Linked DNA regions of Yarrowia lipolytica. The protein of the gene in region 1 binds, or shares a complex with, the protein of each later gene. Links are inferred from orthologs where the notes say so. Each region holds a gene or a part of one and is shown on either strand. Other genes may lie near its edges.

Region 1 (10,536 bases):
AGAGAACCGAGGCCTCCTCCAGCTCCGGTAACGGCGGCCCACTCACCAGCCTTGAGGCCAGCGGTCTTAAGAGCCTTGTAGACGGTGATGCCGGCGCAGAGAATGGGAGCAATCTGGGCGAGGTCGCAGTTCTTGGGGATATGGGCTGCCTGGACAGCGTTGGCAGTGGCGTACTGCTGGAACGAGCCGTCGTGGGTGTATCCCGACATGGTAGCTTTAGGACAGTTGGGCTCGGCAGACACCTGGCAGAACTCACAGGTGTAACAGGCCTTGTTAATCCACTTGATACCGGCGTAGTCGCCGATTTCGAAGGTGGTCACGTTCTTGCCCTTGGCCACGACAACTCCGGCGCCCTCGTGGCCGCCAATGAGAGGAAGTTTGGTGTCAAGAGGCCAGTCGCCCTTCCAGGCATGGAGGTCAGTGTGGCACACTCCGGAAAACTTGACGTTGACGAGAATCTCGTCGTCGGCAGGAACAGGCACAGGCACGTCCTTGTACATGAGAGGACCGCCGGAGGTCTCGAAAATGACAGCCTTCTGGGTCTTGGGGATGGTGGTCATGGTGAAGAGATGGTAGTTGGTAGTAGTTTGGAAAAGTGTTGTTGTGAGAGTAGCTGAGAGCTGGTGTTGAATTGAGGACCACTCAGCCACTATATATATACCTGTAGAATCCCTCACACACAACACTGGGTTCCAAATCAGTCTCTTCCCTACTCCCAGGCATCTCCACACTCCCGAGAGAGAGGGGAAAGAAATTCGACTGTGGGGAGGGGTGCATGACAAGTGCAACTGAGATGGGAGTCAAAATATGGGTGTACGGAAGTGAACAGAATGAGACATTGTCTACTTGTACACTACCACTGATTTGACTGTTTTTTTCATAGTCTCGCTAAAAATGCTCGTAATTCGAAATTATGACATTTTCTCTTGTTTTTGTGGTCATATCAATATATCAGCTCTGTTTGTTTTTTATCCGTTTTTTTTCTTCTTTTGTTTTCATCTGTCTTTTTCTTTTTTTTGTTCTATTGTTTTCCGGGTATCTTTGAGACAACCTGCACCCCACTCCAATAACGGCTCATGCGCATACTCGGAACGCAGTGTCGTAATTAATATCATTCTTGTCTGACCACAGCAAGCTACAATGTTCTCTCTACTCTGTCTCAGGGGTTGCTACACTGCAAACAATCCTAGCAGTTCCTCAAAACAGTCTACATAGTACAAGTAGGTGCTGTACTTGCACACCACCAAAATCTAATATACATTGATAAATATACAGGCTCAGATGAACCATGCGTCTTCCACATGTCCGCTGTACCCTTCCATGCACCATGATACGTGATTCCCCTCGATGCTTCCCTTCATCCATTGATTGGAGCCGAAGAGAAGGTCAGAGGCGCATTCAGAACCCTTACGCTGAAACAAAGAGCGCAGAGGTGAAGATGTGCAGAGAAAGTAAAGCTGGATGGTTGTTCAGAAACAGTGAAAGCACGAAGAATGTCGGTGTCGGTGCCCAGCGCCTCGCTTGGCTCGTACTCGGGCGATTTCGAACACTCCCTCGCTCGTATTTGATTATGCTTGTCGCTCTGCTTTGAACATGACCTGCAACACATAATCCCTGCGATCCTTATCCCAATGGTTCCAAAACTTACTCGGATGCTGATCCAGCTCCTTCGCAGGGATCTTGAAAGCAATTGTCTCATACGGCTCAGCCGCAATCAACAGATACTGAAACCTTCTGTCTGCCGGAACGTCCACCTTTTGCTCGAACGCAGACATGAATCTGTATCTTGGGGTGACTCCCGTGCCAATCTCTGCAAAGTTGATCTGCATAAGCAGACCCAGCTGCTTGGTCAGCGGGTCCTTCACCTTGGTGATCTTGTAACCGGGACGGCCGATTTTGAGCGCAGATTTCTTAATGTGGATTTTGTTGGCTCCGGATAGTTCCCGGTTCTGCTCCCTGGGTCCATCTCGACTCTGAGCTCCTCTCTTGGCTAAGTTTTGTTGATGCCGCTTGCCTTGGGTGTGGGAGAGATAGCTACCGTCGGTCACATGACTGGTGAGGCAGAGGCGACATTCAAAGTAGCCCAGGTGGTTCTTGAAAATGTATGGGTCTTTGGAAATGTCGAGCTGTTCACTAGCGAGTTTTCGGAGCCGTTCTCGTCGGTGAAGATTGGCTTGAGATTCAGAGGCCATTCCGCCGCCTGAGTTAGTATTGCTAGTGAATGACCCGATAGACGGTGGTCGTTTTAGCACGGTAGGGGCGGACAGGACAGAATGTGTCATGTCCAGCTCTCAAATACGTTAGACGACCCAGGCCATCTCCAGCGAGATGGCTCCATCCGCATGAAAAAAAAAGCCAGAATCAACAGGTTGCATCATGGTGAACAGCTCCTGAATGGCTACCAGACATAAGTTTGAGTAGCAGCAAGAAAACAGTTCAGTGATCATCAGAGTCATGTCTAACACTGCTACACAGAACTCCAATCATGTCCAGCTGAATGTGTTCATCACGTGAGCCTTCCTCGCATCTCCATACTCACCTCCTTTTTTCGATCCCACTCGATTTTGCATGTCCATTTTGCCGGATGTTGTGTGCTGTCTAACGTGTACTGGTCGTACTTTTTTTTAAGTGCTGGTCTGCAGTCAGTTATCAAAAGTTTATTTGAAGGTGGAGGGTTGTTAGACGGTTGTTGGACTGGTGTTCCAGGAGAGTTTTGGGAATTATAAAAGTTGGTTTTTATTTTTTGTGGCACACACACTGCTCTTGAACTCTCACTTTCTCAATATATCTGGCATTACCAGCTCCAGGCCGATTGTCAATCGTCTGTTGTGGCCCTACATCTACTTATTAACTATTACAATAACTCTAAATATTGGACCAACATGAAACTCTACTTTTTTCCACCATACGCGGTGGCACTGAACAGACAGAAACACTCAGAGCGGATCTGAACGCCTCCAGAAACAACAAACACATACGAAACACAACCAGGAGGATCACCCATATAGCACTTATTGCTGGAATCACGTGACTACAAGCGCCGCAACAATCAAGACCACCAGACAGCGTCACTCTTGAGCCGACACGACAGAAGCGGCTACAAGATCTCTGAGACGAGAGGTCCCGCTCAGATTACGTGAGAAGGAACCACGATACTCTCACAATCCACAAACGCGCACATTTTGAACACGTCGTCCGCTACAGTTATCTCGTCACTTGACTCAGAGCACACCAACGACCGCCGTTATGGACAACTCCCTCCTGGGCATCCACAACGCCTATGGCAAGCCGCGGGAAGAAATCCCGCACCAGGAATTCCACTCGGATCTCGATCTTACCGAGAAACTCGATTGTTATACGGACGACCAGAGTTATCGAGAACCGCCTCCAAATCCGCGTCTGGACCCAACAGTGAGACTCAACAAGGCCAGTTTCACCCTTCTGCCCATGGACGAGTTTGATCTGGACGTGACGCCCGCGCTGGAACAGATAGGATACCAGATGACTGAAGAGTTTACCTTGCCTGATGAATACATGCAAGAACAGCCCGAGGTGGAAGGGGTGGAATATGATATGGACGAGCAGGATGCTTTTTTCATGGATATGGTTACGGAACAGTGGCCACCCGCCGAAGATAGCAGAGATTCCGGTGAAAGTGGTGCCGATGGTGCTCCCGATACCGATCAAGCTGTTGCTTCAGACTCAGCTACTTCACCACCACCTTCATCACCCACATACAACGCCGATGGACAACTCATTCTCCGAGGATACACACCGGAACCGCCACAAGGACCGTTTCCGCCGACTCACGAAATGTTTGAATACGTGGTTACTCTCATAGAACGCCACTGGTTCTCGCTGGCATCTTCCATGCCTCCAAAGCCGCCCCAGACACACGACGAAATGGACTCGCTGGATGACCAAGCATGTTGCATCTGCGGCGAGTCCGAGTGTGACAACTCTAACGCCATTGTATACTGCGACGGCTGCGATATGGCGTGTCATCAGGAATGCTACGGAGTGACCCACATTCCTGAGGGCCAGTGGCTGTGTCGAAAATGCAGCTTCTCACGTGCGCGACGACGAAACAAGAAGGGAACGTGCATCTTTTGTCCTTCCCAGGTTGGAGCATTCAAAATGACCACGCAAAAGAACTGGGGACATGTTATTTGCGCGTTGTGGATCCCCGAAATCAAGATTGGTGGTCGCAACATGGAGCCCATCAGTCACGTCCGTGACGTCCCCCGTAGCCGCTGGAAGCTACATTGTTACATTTGCAAGCAGCGCATGGGTGCATGTATCCAATGTGCACGGGGCAGCTGTGTGCAGGCCTTTCACGTGACCTGTGCCAGACGAGCAGGTCTACAGATGGAAATGCTCCATGGCGTTCAGGGCGCAATTTTTGATGCAGGATCTATGAGAGCGTATTGTCACAATCATGGAGGAGACGACGACACTCTAATGAGGATAAAGGCGCTGCGAAAGTGGTTTGCCGAGAGGTATGATGGTAAAGGTAGGAGGAAGGCCATTGAGGACGTTGCTACTACGACAGAGTCCTCTGAACTTGGTAGCGAAGCTCCTACTCCGGGAGGTGGGGAGGGAAATGTGGCTACGACAACGGTCGAAGACGTTGTTAGTACCCCTGTGGACACGCCTGTCGAAATGGGCACCTCACAGACCCCTCAGCCAGCTACTCCTTGTGGAGAGGAAGGCAGGGACTTCCCAACTCCCTCAGAAGCAGATCAAACAGTTGTTACTGAGGTCTATCCCACCTGGAAAACACCCGCAGGTACTCCTCTTCTGCCCAAAGTCATCATCGACCGCATCTGTGATGCTTTGGAGCCGTTCAAGATCTCGCACTGTCGCAAGTTTGTGACTATGGTGGCCCGGTACTGGGCTCTGAAGCGGGAGTTCAAACGGGGCGCTGCGCTCATCAAACGGCTCAATATCGCTCTGGAAAACTCGCAAGCTGTGGCCTCCACTCAACTCGAGTCTGTGGAGGACAGACAGAAGCGATACAGAGACATGATTGTCCTGATAAACGAGCTGGAGCGAATCAAGGTGCGGGTAAAGCTACTTGCTGAACGAGAATCCGTCAAGCTGGATTATCTCAAGGTCCAGGGTGAGCTCATCCGAACGCTTCTCCTGCCTGTTACAGCCCTATGTCTCAGGCTGTGCGACGAGATGACCGAGCAGGATTCCAATGGGTACTTTCTGGAGATTCCCGAGATTCCGGGTTACAGAGAGGTGGTCGAATGCCCCATGTCCATGACGGAGATTCGGGAAAAGACCCTGAATCTGGAGTACGACCATGTGGCCCAGATGCTGCCAGACTTCGAAGTCATGTTTGACAATGCGTTTGTCTACAATGATAGTGAAGCTCCTGTGTGTGTGGAGGCCACGAGATTAAGGGGCGTGGTGAGAGGGCTGGTGGAAGAATACACGGAGAAGGAGAAGGAGAAAGAGTACCAGAGGTGTTTTGGGGAGGGGGAGAAAGGGGAGGTAGGGAAGGAGGTGAGAGAGGCGCAGAAGAGGCCGTTCACTGCTATTGAGTAGACTGCGAGGTGAGTGTGCAGCTCTCACCGAACGGACCAGGGTGAAATGAGTGTGTAACTCTTTTGTATTGGACCTATTAGGCAAGCATGCGTTGCCGCTCTAACCGTCTACACTTGTACTAATATTATTTATGCGATATTCTGTACAGTCTACGTAGCCTCTGGGGTTGTACATCAGTGGCTACCATTGCTAATGATAAGAGACCTGAAAACGTACAACATAGTGCACATTCCCAATGACCAGGGTCCATGAAAAGTATCTAATCGATTCACGAGCTGGCGCTGAGTCGATGGTGTAAAAATCATGCAGCTTGCGATGGTTTACAATTAATACAACTCGCAGTAGCACCAACAGCGACCTACTCTAACTAATCATCAAGTAATAGTGAGAGTTGGATTAAGTAAAACATCCACTATAGTACATACTATACAACACGGACTGAACCAGGTTTTTTTATGATTTTTTTACTGGAAATGTCGTCCAAAGTTGGACATGACACAAAGTGGTTAATTGTATATCGTGTAACTGCATTCTTCAAAGGTTATTTTTCACGGCAAAGTTTATAATTAAAGGTATAAAAAAAAAAAAAAAAAAAAAAAAAAAAACTGTACATACTGTACTTCTGATAGCCAATTTTGTAGGGAAACTGATAAAAATCTCCCTAATGTCTATGTATCTAGCTAACTATTGCCACAGGCAGTTCTTGATCTCTACTTGTACTGTTCTATAAGTAATGGGCACCAGCTATATTTTGGTACAAGTACGATTGGGCGTGTCAGTGACTTCCGTTACTTTGGTCTCCGAAACAGCCGCGGAGGCTGGATCTGGAGTACAAGTATGTACTTATATTAAAAACCAAGAATTTGGGGTCGGTGGGGGTTCTATGAGACCATGTGGGAGCTTTCATTTTTCTTGTCAGTTCAAGTCAGTACAAGTACCATAATACAGTATGTATTGTAATTGAACTCGAGAATACACGAGCTAAAAGGGGTTCATATAATGGTGCCCAAAGTTGATGTCAAAGTTTCAGATTATGCAATAATAGGGAATATTCCGCTTAGGTAAACGCCTACTGGTACTAAATCACGTGATATATCCATTCACCTGATCAATATCGCATTTCCACTGACGTTTAGTCAGTTCATGCGCGACACTTGAAACAATGGAGTAAATTTCATGCATGTATATTTCACCTTGCATACAGTACTACACTATCACCAACTCAACAACACCACACAACATGTCTTCTAACGACGCGACTTCGGACGATACAGACGCCACGGTCGAAGAAGACTTCAAACGGGAGCCCGAGACAGCTGCCAACCTCGAGAGCAACCCTCCTAGCGATCCGCCGGTTGAGAATGAAGAGGCGAGTGACAGTGACGAGCCTAGTGGTGGATTTTCATACTCTTTGTTGAAGAAGAGTGTTCCTATGAAAGAGAACCAAGCGGAGACAGCAAAGCCCGAATCTGTGATGAAATCCGACCCGGTTGTCAAAGCTGAGCTGCTCACGTCCGAGGCAGGATCAGCCACGCCCTCGGCTACTGAATCGCCTCGAGAAACGCCCTCCGATCTGATGTCTCCCGACCCCGATCACATTCCCAGCAAGTCTTCCAAGCGGCGTCAACCGAAACCCAAGAGCCGTCCTGCTCCGAAAAAGAAGCTGAAAGTCGCCGTTGCGAAGGACTACAAGTTGCCCCCCGGTGCTCCACCCGTTGACACCAGTCACCATGGCGACGAAGATCACCAGGATCTATTTTGTGTGTGCAGACGACCTGACGACGGAAAGTGGATGATTGGATGCGATTACTGCGAAGAATGGATCCATGGAAGCTGTGTGGGTATAACTCCAGCCAGAGCAAAACTCATGCACAAGTTCTGCTGTCCTTACTGCACACACAAGGCCGAAAAGATGCGTCCCGGCGAAGAGGCCACGGTGGCCCATCAGATGACGCTGAAACACGGCACAGAAACCACCTGGAAGCGCGTTTGTCGACTGGAAGAGTGCCACAAGGCTGTCTCATACCCCAGCAAGTACTGCTGCAGAGAACACGGTCTGGAGTACATGAAGGGCAGAGTGGCTGCTCTCAGCACCAACAGCAACTCAAGTGTGGCTGACGACACTGAGGAGCCGTTTGGAAAGCTTTCCGAGGAACGTCTAGCTGCTATCGTCCAACAGACTCCCAACCTGGCTGCGTTCAAGACTCTAGGCTCGACTACTCCCGTCGAAGCGTCTCCTGTGACTCCTAAACAACCCTCCACGCAGCTCAAGTTTGTGGAACAAAAGCTCAAGTACATGACTCTGGTCAAGGACCGAACCAAGAGTCTCAGTGAAGAGGCCGCTACAGCCGCGGGAGTAAGAAAGAAGGATTTATGTGGCTACGATTCGCGTCTGGACAAGGATCATGACATCTGGGCGAATGAATTTGCTGCCCAGGATGAACTGGTGGGTATTGCCATGAGTGATGATACTAGTAAGACAGTCACTCCTTCCCACGATGCTCTACACAACAAGGAACACATTTGCTTGCAGGACAAGCGGAAATGCTATAACCATCTAGGCTGGGCTGCTCTGATTACCGACCGGCTGAATTTGCAGCTGGCTATTCTCCAGCGGGAAATGGAGAGAAGCGAAGGCGACGAGGCCGATCTGAAGGAGATTGAGCGGCTGAGAAGCGTTGAGAGAAAGACGTGGATCAAGTGAGAGGCGGGTGTGAAGAGAGTCTGATTTGGAAGAGGTCAGAAATGTACTTTTAGATATTATTTATTGGAGTTACAGTACTTGTGAAAAAGTGAATCTCAGAGAAGATTATTGGGGATACACCTATGTACTCGTACAACAACTCGTACAAGTACATAAAATGATGTCTGTCCAGATTCTTCTGGTGAGGATACCCCAGCAAAGGTGCTAACTCCTCACTCCAGATTCTCAGCTATTTGTAGATTTAAGCGAAACATATACTTACAATTATACTTAGGTTTAGTTGAGGAAGGAGCCACCATAAACATACACCAATTGTAACCTCAAATGTCTTTACAGAGAGATATTCAGTAGGAAAATCGTTACATCTGTGCCGAAAGTAGAGGAGCCACAAATTTACTTGTATTTGACAACTACGGAACACGATATGACATCTCTCACTTTGTCAGCATCTCCCCACCATTTCCGGATTCTGCAATTAAGCTTGCATGAGATCACGCTTCAGATCTGAATCAGTCACACTCACCACCTCCATCAACAATGAGAGCTGTTATCCAGAGAGCCAAGAGCGGATCGGTGACAGTCGATTCGAAGATTGTCAGTCAGTGAGTATAGCAGGCGAAGAGCCACCGGAACCGGGGAGCATGCTCTGAGGAGACGGCCCATATGATACGAGAAGGGCAACGGTGGGACTACAGAAGGACGGATAGACAACAGAAGGAAACAAGACGAGACAGCGGGTACCATTCACAAGGGTTTTCAGAACGGACGGAAAGACCAATGATTCTACAGGCCCCCAGAAACAACGAGTTCTCGCCTCATATTCGTTCTATGAGCAGTCTTAATCAACTGCCTGAGACTCTTCACTTCTGTCACACTCCATTACTATTGGATCAATTGTTGTCCACTCGGATTCTCCATCCTGGCCACCGTGCTTTCGGGCCCGCTAACACAGAATCTCCCACGGGCTAGTTGTTCTTATCGGAGTGGGCCATGAAGATACGGCAGAAGACGTGGAGAAGGTCGCCAACAAAATCATCAAGACCAAACTTTGGCCCTCGGTCGATGGAGCACAGCAATGGAAACAGAGTGTGCTCGACGTTGGTGGAGAAGTGCTCTGTGTTAGTCAGTTCACTTTGTTTGCCAAGGTCAAGAAGGGCCAGAAGCCAGACTTTCACAATGCCGCCAAGGGCCCACAGGCTAAGGAGCTCTACGACCAGGTGCTGGCAAAGATCCAGGCTGCTCTTCCAGAGGGTCGGACAGTCAAAGATGGTGTTTTTGGCGCCATGATGGACGTTGCGCTGGTTAACGACGGGCCTGTCACCATTCAGTATGATACAAAGAATGACAAATAGAGGATAGATGATGAGCGACAGTACAGTAGTTATATATAGGTATATTCCATCAAGCTGGCTTGCTAACATGTTTAATTCGTTTTTTCTTCTATATTACTTCACTCCGCCTGCTGAGTCTGCTTCTTCTTCATCTCCTCGCCAATCTTCTGGCGCATGATCTGGTCAATAGCCTCCAGATTCTTACCCTTCTGCTCGGCTACGGCTGTCAGATCGCCCAAGTTCTTCTCCAAAGTCATCACCTTCTTCTGGTAGTGGGCAATGGCTCCTTCTGCGTCCTTTTCCACATAGTATCCCGTTCCCACGTCAACCATGAACTTGCCCACGTTGCTCATGCGTCCAGGCACGTACAGCGATGATGACAGCGGCACCATGAGTTCTGTATCGTCCTTCTCGGCGGACACGCCACGCACCGACTCCTGACAGTCCTGGAACTTGCGCTTGGCCTCAATGAGCTTTTGGAACGACGAGTTGAGAAACTCCACCTCCTGCATCAGCTTCTGCTTAATTTCGCCCAGCTGGGGGATCGAGAGCGTATTGAGGTCGACTGTGTTAGTTTGGGGCGTGGGAGATCTTGTTGCTCTCTGTCTCACTCACTCTGTGTCTGTTCGGCCATGGCGGTTGGATCAATGTGTTCAAACAGATCGTGGCAGCCTGAGCTCGAATGCACCTAAACCTAATGTGTTGGGGTTTGGAGATGGTTAATTGGGATTAGGGGGTTCGAACTGGGAAGTCGTAATTTGAGTCTAAAAACTAGGATAAAAATAATAAAAGAACATCAAAATCAAGAAAAAATCATTAGAAGAAATATATATTGACGGGTTCCCTTCATCCTGCTCATCAAAAATGATTACTAAGCCCCACAGGGCACCTGGTGGGGTTGATCTGGACTTTGCTTGACTTGTCAAGTCTTAGCAAGCAAAGATC
Region 2 (9,901 bases), on another chromosome or scaffold:
CACAAATCAGTCTTACAAATCGCACACAAAAATGGTACGTTCTAGTATTGATAATCATGTATGGTAATACGATGTCGTGCATTGTTTATGTAGTGTAAGTAGTTATTGTGCGTTGTGTATGCAGTGTAATCGGTGACAGTGACAACATGGGGAGATATATATAGAACGGCTTTGGGACGGTTTAGATCAAAACTCATGTTAAGAAAACAACAACTCATCAGCAAACTACAACAACTAAAACTAATGTCTACCACTACCGATATTACTACACCCATTTCCAAGCCCATTGACAAGATCTTCACTGCTCTAGAGACTTCCGAGGGTCGAGGAGCGCGTGTTCGGCGTGTCATGCCTACTGGGAATATGGTGAACTTTACCCCCTTTCTTATGTTTGATCATTTCAAGGTGCCCTCTTCTGCTGGTTTCCCAGACCATCCTCATCGAGGCCAGGAGACTATCACCTATGTGGTTGATGGATCCGTCGACCACGAGGATTTCACTGGTAGCAAGGGTACTCTTAATGCCGGAGATTTACAATTTATGACTGCTGGACGAGGTATAGTGCATGCTGAAATGCCTTCTGCGGGTCCTAATGGAGAGGTCCGAACTGTGGAGGGTATCCAGCTGTGGGTGGACCTACCCAAGGAGCTCAAGAACTGCAAACCTCGGTACAGAGATCTGAGAGCCGCTGAGATTCCTATTGCCAAATCGGATAGCGAGGATCTCACTGTCAAGGTGATTTCTGGCAAGTCTATGGGCGTCGATTCCGTCAAAGATCTTGCGTATACTCCTGTCTGGTTCCTTGATTTCGAATCTTCCAAGCAGTACAGCGGACGAGAGGTCAACCAGGATATACCTGAGGGCTTCAACTCGCTGTTATATGTCATGAAAGGCACAGCTACCGTCAACGGCAAGAAGATCAAGCAGCATGATGTGGTTATATTCAAGAATGGAGGAGACTCTATCGACTTCATCCCTGGTCCTTCCTCAAGAGTCATTGTCATTGGAGGAAAGATTCTGGAACAGCCCATTGTCCAGCATGGTCCCTTCGTTGCAACCACCAGAAAGGGCATTGTCAAGGCCTTTGAGGACTACCAGACTCGAACTCATGGTTTTGAGCAGGCCAAGGGTTGGTCTTCCGAAATCGGTAAGCGGATGAAGCTGTAGGCCCACGAGTCTACAGTACGAATACCGGTACGTAGTCACCGAAGTCCCTTACTAACCTTTTTATATACCTACATAGCATAAATATAAATGAACTATCAATAGCCTATCTAAAACTATCACCACGTGTAGCCTTATATTTCTGGGGCATGAGCTGAGTCGCCATTCCGCTACCCCCTTATCCCTTCATATGACGGACATGAAAAGAAACCTCATATCACAAACAGCCCCTTACGCTCACGCTCCAGAAAGTCACGCAGCTTACATTTGAGATGCAGCGCTTCCAATAACACTATCGTTGCCACCACAACGAAAGTGGCAAGACGGCTCTTCCAGTATTTTCCAGAAGCATTTTAGTAGGGCAAACGAAAACGAAAGCAGAACTAAAGAGAAATTTCCTTTACATCTACGGATAATTTTTTCCTTGTCAAGCTCCCAAGACCTGTACCGTGCTCACATTCTGATCAGATGTAAAACGCCACTTGAGTTGTTACTCTGTGCTGTGTTTGGCACGGTTATACTTTCAAGTACAAGTAGGAGACATTGTTTGTATGGGGTATGGAGAGTACTCAGTCACTAAAAAACTAGCCATAGGACACAGAGATGATGGTAGTATCAAAAATCGTCACTCACGTGGCCACTGCCTCACAAACCCATAATCACCCTCCAACTTCCTGCTAAAACACCTAGACCTGTTCCGCCCCCTTGAAATAGGGTTTAAGACACGTGACCATACGCCTCTTCACGCAGGTTGTATATATACATCCGCAGTACGTAGCACCTCTTCGCTAACAATGACTCGACACAGCATGGAATCCAACGACTCGAACGACGTGTTATTCGACGCGCCCTCCAGTCCACGTGACGCTCTGGCTGCGGCTTTTGGAAGCGACTCAGATTCGGACTCGGATGATGAACATCATCTCCAGAGCGGAGGACGGATGGGACGTAGCTACAACCAGGTCGACACCAGCACACAAGATGATGACGACGACCTGAACCATGACGACGATGGAGGAGCTACTCTGGAGGAGCTGGCGCAGACGGAAGACCCCCAGTACGACAGAAGCAACTATGCAGACGACCGGTTAGGGGGCTCCAACAACAACGGAGGCCATACCCGGATCCCTGGAGGTTTTCCTGAAGCTGGAAACACCGGTTCTGGATCGGGAGGCAACGCTGGCTCCGGGTCCGAGGGCTCCAACGTGTTTTCTACCGGCTTCTTCAACCGTCTATTCAACAGAGGTCAACTGCTGCCTACAACAGAACCTCCAGCATCATCTTCGCACGATGGTGTGTTTTCAAACACTCAGGCCAATGATGACGACGAAGATAAGCCCACTGACGAAACACCTCCTACCTACGAGGAGGCTGCTGCGGATGCCACTCCTCCTTACTGGGCAACCACTATTCTCCACCCTGGCTACGCGGAAGAGGTGTTTATCGACGGACTTCCCGTGGGCTCGCCCATTTCTTTTTTGTGGAACATGACTGTATCGTCCGTTTTCCAATTCATCGGTTTTGTTCTTACGTACCTGCTGCACACGTCGCACTCGGCCAAACAGGGCTCTCGAGCAGGCCTCGGACTCACAGTGTTCCAGATCGGCATGTACATGCGAAACAGCGGAGGAAACCCCACTACAGACTACTCGTCAGTACCTGCACACCAATTTGTGCCCTCAGACCCCAACAACTTCGATGTACCCGGTTACGGATCCAACATTCCGGGAAACGCAGTCATTCCGACCATGGAGCATGTGGACCCCACGGTGCAGGAACAGGAGCGGGCCGCTCATGAAAAGAATGTCTTCTGGTCAGGCATTATCATGGCGGTGGGAACTCTTGTCATTCTCAAAGCTCTGTGGGACTACTGGCGTGCTCGACGAATGGAGTTGATTGTTCTTCAAACTCCCCAGCACGTAGTGACGGAAGAAGATACCCCCGAGACTGCTGTCTAGGAAAGGAGGGAAGCAAATAGACTAACTTGGCCCCCGTCAGGAAGGGGACCATTATTTATTAGACACTGCATGGCACATACTGTAATAGCATGATGGAGTACAAGCATCTGTATTGTAGACTGTTTCATATTGCGTTCATTTTTGTGAGACTAGAAGAGTATTTGATACAAGTACTAATATATTGATCAATGTAATAACGTACGCACGATGTTGTTTTCTGTTCATCTAGTCATTATGTATAAACGTCTAAAGAATCTCCATGATCTTCTCATAGATGGTAAAGACAATACCTCCGGAGAGAATGAGTCGTCCGAGACGGGGAGTGGCTCCCTTCCAGAAGGTCAACAGGCCCTCCTCCTTGAAGATTCGAGCAAAGCAGTGGAAGGTGCCTCGGTATTCCTTTTTGGCCTCCAACGATTGCATTCGGGTCTTGACGGTATCCAGAGGCATGGTGGTGTAAACAGTGACGATACCGGCAAAGGCACCGACAATGAATGTGGACAGAGACGAGAGAGGGGCCTTAGGGTCCTTCTGCCGGCTCTGAATGAACACCTTCATCCAGTTGTAAGATCCCAGGCGGACAGCCTGGTTCGCAGCCTGTCGCATGGTAACAGGGACAAGACCACGGTAGATACCGGAGAGGCCCTTGTCCTTGATGAGCTGTGCGGTTCCCTTGAACAGACCCTGGTACTTGGGATTCTTACTCTGTCGGTCGTCGATCATGGCTGTCTTGATGGTCTCAAAAGGAGTCACAGCGACGACGGACTCAAGCACACCGGCTCCCAGTCCCGCTAGAACTCCTCGAGGTCCGGACACCTTACCATCCTTGTCGGCCAGCAGGCCCTTGATTGCGTCGAAACCAAGGAACCGGACACCAGCCTTGACGGTATTGCCGACAATGAAAGCGGGGCAACCAGTGTACACTGCTCCGAGACCCTGGGTCTTGGCTGTGTTGTAGATGAGCACCAGAGGGTTTCTGGAGGCGGTGGATGACTTGTCAACGAGCTGGAGACGGGTCTTGGACCATTCGAAAGGGTAGGTAACGAGACCCTCCACGGCTCCGGCCGTAGAACCGGCTACCAGGGACTTCCAAGGTTCGGCCTGTGTTAGATCATGATGCTTGCTGGTAGTAGTTGTCGACTATGACTCATACTCACCTTCTTGGTATCTGATGAAACCATTGTCAATGTGTCTGTGTCTGTACTTTTCAGTGGGGGTGCTGTTGAACGGGCTCTGGATGTGTCAGTCCGTGTTTTTAGATCCGCTTAGTGTGGATATTTTTCACCTGAAAAGTCTCGAGGATAACTTCAGCCGTGTTTGACTCAAGATGCGCTTTAGGCTCCCAGCATGTCCGCTTCGGCCCGTGTATGCACACCAAAAGCTGGAGAAGCATTGGTGGAGGTTGTAGCAGTAGAAGATTATCTTGGTCCAATTTGTGGCATGGATGTCAAATTGATGTCACGTGAGTAGATTTCGAATATCGTATCGCTATTCACAAATGTCGATGTGCTCCATCTTGCCGTACCTAGAACATAAATGAGAGTACGTTCGCTTAAAAGCCAGATCAACTAATATGGATAGAATAACCAACTAAACTTCGTGAGTGTCCACGGCAGTGTTTACAGTGCTGGTATGTATGAAATAATTGTTTTGCTTCCGCATAATGGACAAAATTAATTTATATAAAACCAATGTTATATCTCTGATCCACAAATTCGCAACATTTCCTTTATCACTGTCGCGTTTGGCCGTATCTACAGTGTTTTTATGCTCACAGCTCTGCTAATTACAGTGTAATACAATCATGTCTTTGTTAATCGTCTCCTACATGAATCTATTTGAACGAGTTTTACCCTAAATAAACAGACGTTCTAGTTCCAATATTAATTCCATCTCTCTATTAGTACAGTAAATCTATTCCCTGTCACTCCGATGCCCAATGCATCCCCTCCACCATCTCACATTCACTCTTACCTCAATTAAGTTCACGACTCGACAGTCAGACATCACCACCTAAAGTTTCATCTACCATCACGTCCATCACCACACATCCAATGCCGTCACTAACGCCCCCCACAGCCAACGGAGCCGTCCAATCGTCGTCGGACGAAGTCACGTCCATCGTCATTGAGTGCGGCTCGTCATACACGCGTGTCGGCTTCTCGGGAGACGACCTCCCCAAGGTGGTCATCCCCACCAAATACGGCAAGTACACAAACGACAAGGGCGAAGATGTGTACGAATTCGGCCTGGAAAACGTGCATCGACCTGTAGCCGGCAAGGAAATCTACAGCCCCGTGCAGGACGGTTGCATCCAGGACTGGGATGGAGTGGCCAAGCTTTGGGAGTACGCCATCAAGGAAAAGCTCAAGGTGGACGACTTGAGCGAGTACCCTCTGGTGATCACAGAGCAGATGTGGAACTCGAGTGCAAGACGGGCCAAGATCGCCGAAATGTGCTTCGACAAGTTCCGGTCGCCTGCCATCAGCTTCGTGAAGAACCCTCTCTGTACTGCTTACGCTGCCGTGCGACCCAACTCCATCATTGTGGAGATCGGTTCGGCCGTGGCCAGTGTGTCTACCGTACTTGACGGCAATGTGGTAACCAAGGCCTCTTTCCACTCCAAGTTTGGAGGCGACTTTCTCAACTACCTGATTCTCGAGGAGTTCAAGCGAAAGCAGGTCGAGGTCATCCCCTCGTACCTGGTCAAGAAGAAGAAGGACATTAACGACCCCAACCCTTCTACATTCCTGCGAGAACTGCCCGGCATGACTGACTCGTACAAAAACTTTGAGATTGAGCGGGTGCTCGACAACTTCAAGGAAACCACCCTCCAGGTCAACTACCACCCCATCATGCCTCACACACCGCTGCCACCCAACATCCAGAGACCCTACGAATTTCCCGACGGAAGCACATACATTGCTGAGCAGGAACGATTTGGAATCGCCGAGTCGCTGTTCAGGCCCGTCGAGTTTGGACCCCCAGGTGTCGTGCCTGAGGGAACTCTCGGTATCTCGGAGCTCATCTACCATGCCGTGCTCAAGACCGACCCCAAAGCCGAGGTCCAGATGGAGCTACTTAACAACATTGTCGTTGTTGGAGGAACTACTCTGCTCAACGGTCTGACTGCCCGAATCCACCGGGACATGGCCCAGTTCTTCACCCAGTTCCATGTCAAGCAGCCCTACCTCTCGGTGACCTCCACCGAGCGAAAGTCGCTGGCATGGACCGGTGCCTCTGTTTTCGCTTCTCTCGGCAACTTTGGTTCTTCCTGGGTCATCAAGCAGGAGTATGAGGAACAGGGCGCCGATGTCATTGACAAGCGTTTCAAGTAGAGTAGCTGTAGCTAACGTGTATTATAATGGTATTGGATGTTTTGAATCATGCAGTATGTACTGTATCTACCAGTACGTATCTAGTTACTCGTAGTCTAATGTGTATAAAAAATCTTTGTTATATGTACATCACCTGTAGTTTTTCTTCGTCTACTCCTCGTCAAAGTCAGCCTCCTCAACAGCCAGCTCAACATCATCAAAATCACCCTCATCATCGTCGTCATCTTCCTCATCTTCCTCCTCCTCATCCTCGGCACGCTGCTTGGCTTCGTATTGCTTGTAGTATGCGGCCAGAGCGTCCTCTTCCTCCTCCTCGAGCTTGGGCTCCATATCCTCGGCCTTGACCTTGGGAGCCACTTCCTCCTTTTTAACACCCTCCTTTGTATCCTTCTTCTGGGGATAGTCATCGTCGTTACCAATCTCTGTGAATCCATGTTGCTCCTGGTCGGTATCCCCCATTACCATCTGTCGACCAACAGTAGACTCCATGTACCATGCGGGAAGGGCGTTCTGTTCGGCCAGCTTAGCCTTCTCATCTCGCTGGGCAGCCTCGTCCTCTGCACCCGTGGAAAGGTTGACGGTGAGAGTGGAGCTTTTGTTGGAGCCCGTCTGGGACGAAGTAGTGCCTCTGCCAGCAGTCTTGATAGAAGAGGTGCTTCCTGCAGTGACCTCCAGCTGTGCGGGAACCGCCTTGGCAAGCGACGTCTCAAAGGTGTTTTCGGCCACCTGGATGTCGTCTATCTTTCGTAGCTCGTCTATAATGGGCTTGATTTGCTGCATGAGCTTTTCCAGTCGGTCCTGGTGCACTCTGGATTCGTCACTGGTGGTATCTTCGACAATCACGGTAGAACAGACATCACAGGTGAAAGTGCCGTCCATTTGCACGTTGGTGACGGCCTCGAGGGTAGTGAACTTTTTGGTACACAGCGGACACACGTATCCCTGTGGCTGGGATTTCTTTCCAAGCGCCTCCTCTGCCTGCTTGTTCATGGAGTGCACCTTCCACTTGATGGCATCGATAGTCACAGTGTAGTGGATGTAGTAGTACGTCTTTTGGTAATTTTTGTTGTAGCCGTATGTGTTTTCCTGCTGCTCGCGCTGGGTGTGATCCTTGAGCAGCTTGTCGTCCTTGAGCTTTGCGCAAATCTGTCGAATCTCCTTGGCCGGAATGCTCAGCAGCTGGTGCAGTTCCTCGTCTGAAAGCACCACATGCTTGAGCAGCGCGTCCATCACCAGGATGGACTTTGTGTCGTAAAAGCCTCGTGTAACGTACTGGAGGAGCCGCTTGATGTTGTCCATGCTGTGTTAATTTGTGGTGTTGGTTTTTTCTTGTGCCCGTCCCCGAAGCTGCTGTTGTATGCTACAGTACTGCCTGTTTTATCCCGATCAAAGTTAGTCAAACCGACTGAGAGTGCGTTCTTCCTGCATACTCCAACATGACGACGGATTTCGGCGGTGGCACAAAAAAAGTGAGAACCGAGCAGGAGGAGGACCTGGCGTCGGAGTTTCCTACGAAGCTCACGATAGACGCTCACTCCGCACCCTGCACGACGGCAAAAATCAGCCCAAACGGCAAACAGATTGCAACATGTTCTGCAGACGCGTCTATAAAGCTGTGGGACGCTGCTACTGGAGACCTGATACAGACGCTGAGAGGTCATCGAGCGGGAATCAATGACATCAGCTGGTCGCCTGACTCGAAGATGCTCGCCACAGCTTCCGACGATCGAACGATCCGAATTTGGTCCACACACCGACCTTCCAGTCAGCGTATCCTAGTGGGACACACCCACTATGTGACATGCGTCAAGTTCAATTATAAGGGCAACCTAGTGGTGTCCGGATCAGCCGATGAGAATGTCCGAGTGTGGGACGTGCTTCAGGGTCGGTGCATCATGACCCTGGCGGCCCACTCACAACCCATCTCGGCGGTCGACTTCTCATGCGAAGGAACCATGATTGTCAGTGGATCACATGACGGTCTTATCCGAATGTGGGACACTGCCACTGGCCAATGTTTGAAAACAATTGTCGGTGAAGAATCTTCACCCATCATGTTTGCCCGCTTCACTCCAAACTCCAAGTTCATCCTTGTCTCTAATATGGACTCCACTGCAAGGTTGTGGGACTACATGAACAATAAGGTGGTCAAGACATACAAGGGCCACGAGAATGGCAAGTACTGCTGTCCCACTGGCTTTGTGTATCGTCAGGATCGAGCCGTCCTTTTGCATGCCTCTGAGGACGGTCGCGTCTACGTGTACGATATACAGGATCGAACTGTGCGGGGCTCGTTTGACGCTCATCCGGGAGTTATTATTTCACTGGATGTTATTGATAACAAAATCGTTACCTGTTCATTAGATGGCTCAGTGAAGCTGTTTGAGCTGGTGGAAGAGAACAGCCCAAGTGACGACATGGATACTGATACCGAGGAGAATGGCTGCCGAACCAATAGCAGTGAGGAGCGGGACAACAGCAGAGAAAAGGAGGACGGCAATGGAGATGGTCATGGAGATGTTAGCATGAACAACGACTAGCACTGAATATGGTGCTTAAAACAACACGAAAGGTGCTGTCTACTACAAGCACACAGCATCTACGAATAAGTAATATAGAATAACAGCATAATGACTAAACGTACAGTAGCTACAGTAGGAGTACAGTGGCCACTCGAACGCACCTACATACCCCAGTTCAAACATGAACCGTTTAATTTATTTATATAATGCACTACCTAGTACAAACCACCTACGCCTGGAAAGCAACGTTGTCGACGTTTCCAGCCATGAGAGAAACAATGTTCTCCTCCAGTCTATCAGTAACAGCATCCTCAAGATGCTTCTTGGGGTCCTGCTTTCCGACATATCGAGTCTTGAGCTGGTCCTCGGTCATCTCCTGCTCCTCCTGCACTCGGTTGGTGTACTCAATGGCCAGTTTGACCATCTTCTGTGCAGCGTTGGCGTTGTTGCACTCCTGGGTCTCGTAGTTCTGGATCTCCAGACCAGAGGTCCAACTGCTCTTGTGCAGGTTCTGCAGCATCTTCTCATCCAGGGGAGTTTTCTTGTAGTTGATGTTAATGGAGTAGTAGTGTCGGTTCAGGCCGTGGATCAGGGCGTGGATTGTGGGCTTGTTAAGATGACCCACGTTGGAGGTCGACAATCGAGGCTCCTGGCCCAAAAGCACCGAGTTTGTGTTAATCAGTCGGAAGGCGTCAATTACAACCTTACCCTTGACCGACTGAATGGGATCCACCACCACTGCCACTGCTCGCTTGTTGAGCTGCTCAAACGATTGTTGGGTGTTGATATCCACAGACGACAGCCAGCAGCCGAAACCGGGATGTGAATGGTACCATCCGACGACCATCTGATCTCGACCGGTCTGTTTAAGCATATCCATCATTCGTGTTTGGAACACATCATCAACGGCCTCAACGGA

What was found.
Region 2: YALI1_D34022g (region 1) and YALI1_F33791g share a complex: the UniProt entries of both Schizosaccharomyces pombe proteins name them as parts of the set1 complex. The link is inferred for Yarrowia lipolytica from reciprocal best matches to the Schizosaccharomyces pombe genes spf1 and swd3.

The regions. Positions count from the first base shown.
Region 1 is NC_090773.1:3,395,457-3,405,992, forward strand, and holds YALI1_D34022g (uncharacterized protein), read left to right. Parts: upstream 1-6,736; coding exon 6,737-8,260; downstream 8,261-10,536. Other genes in the region: YALI1_D33961g (uncharacterized protein), read right to left, coding at 1-560; YALI1_D33978g (uncharacterized protein), read right to left, coding at 1,569-2,282; YALI1_D33988g (uncharacterized protein), read left to right, coding at 3,247-5,556; YALI1_D34043g (uncharacterized protein), read left to right, coding at 8,798-8,862, 9,213-9,612; YALI1_D34057g (uncharacterized protein), read right to left, coding at 9,711-10,156, 10,207-10,225. UniProt on the Schizosaccharomyces pombe protein: The Set1 complex specifically methylates 'Lys-4' of histone H3.
Region 2 is NC_090775.1:3,371,266-3,381,166, forward strand, and holds YALI1_F33791g (uncharacterized protein), read left to right. Parts: upstream 1-7,896; coding exon 7,897-9,000; downstream 9,001-9,901. Other genes in the region: YALI1_F33714g (uncharacterized protein), read left to right, coding at 196-1,167; YALI1_F33732g (uncharacterized protein), read left to right, coding at 1,959-3,122; YALI1_F33754g (uncharacterized protein), read right to left, coding at 3,369-4,223, 4,280-4,303; YALI1_F33764g (uncharacterized protein), read left to right, coding at 5,177-6,460; YALI1_F33790g (uncharacterized protein), read right to left, coding at 6,611-7,759; YALI1_F33812g (uncharacterized protein), read right to left, coding at 9,212-9,901. UniProt on the Schizosaccharomyces pombe protein: The Set1 complex specifically methylates 'Lys-4' of histone H3.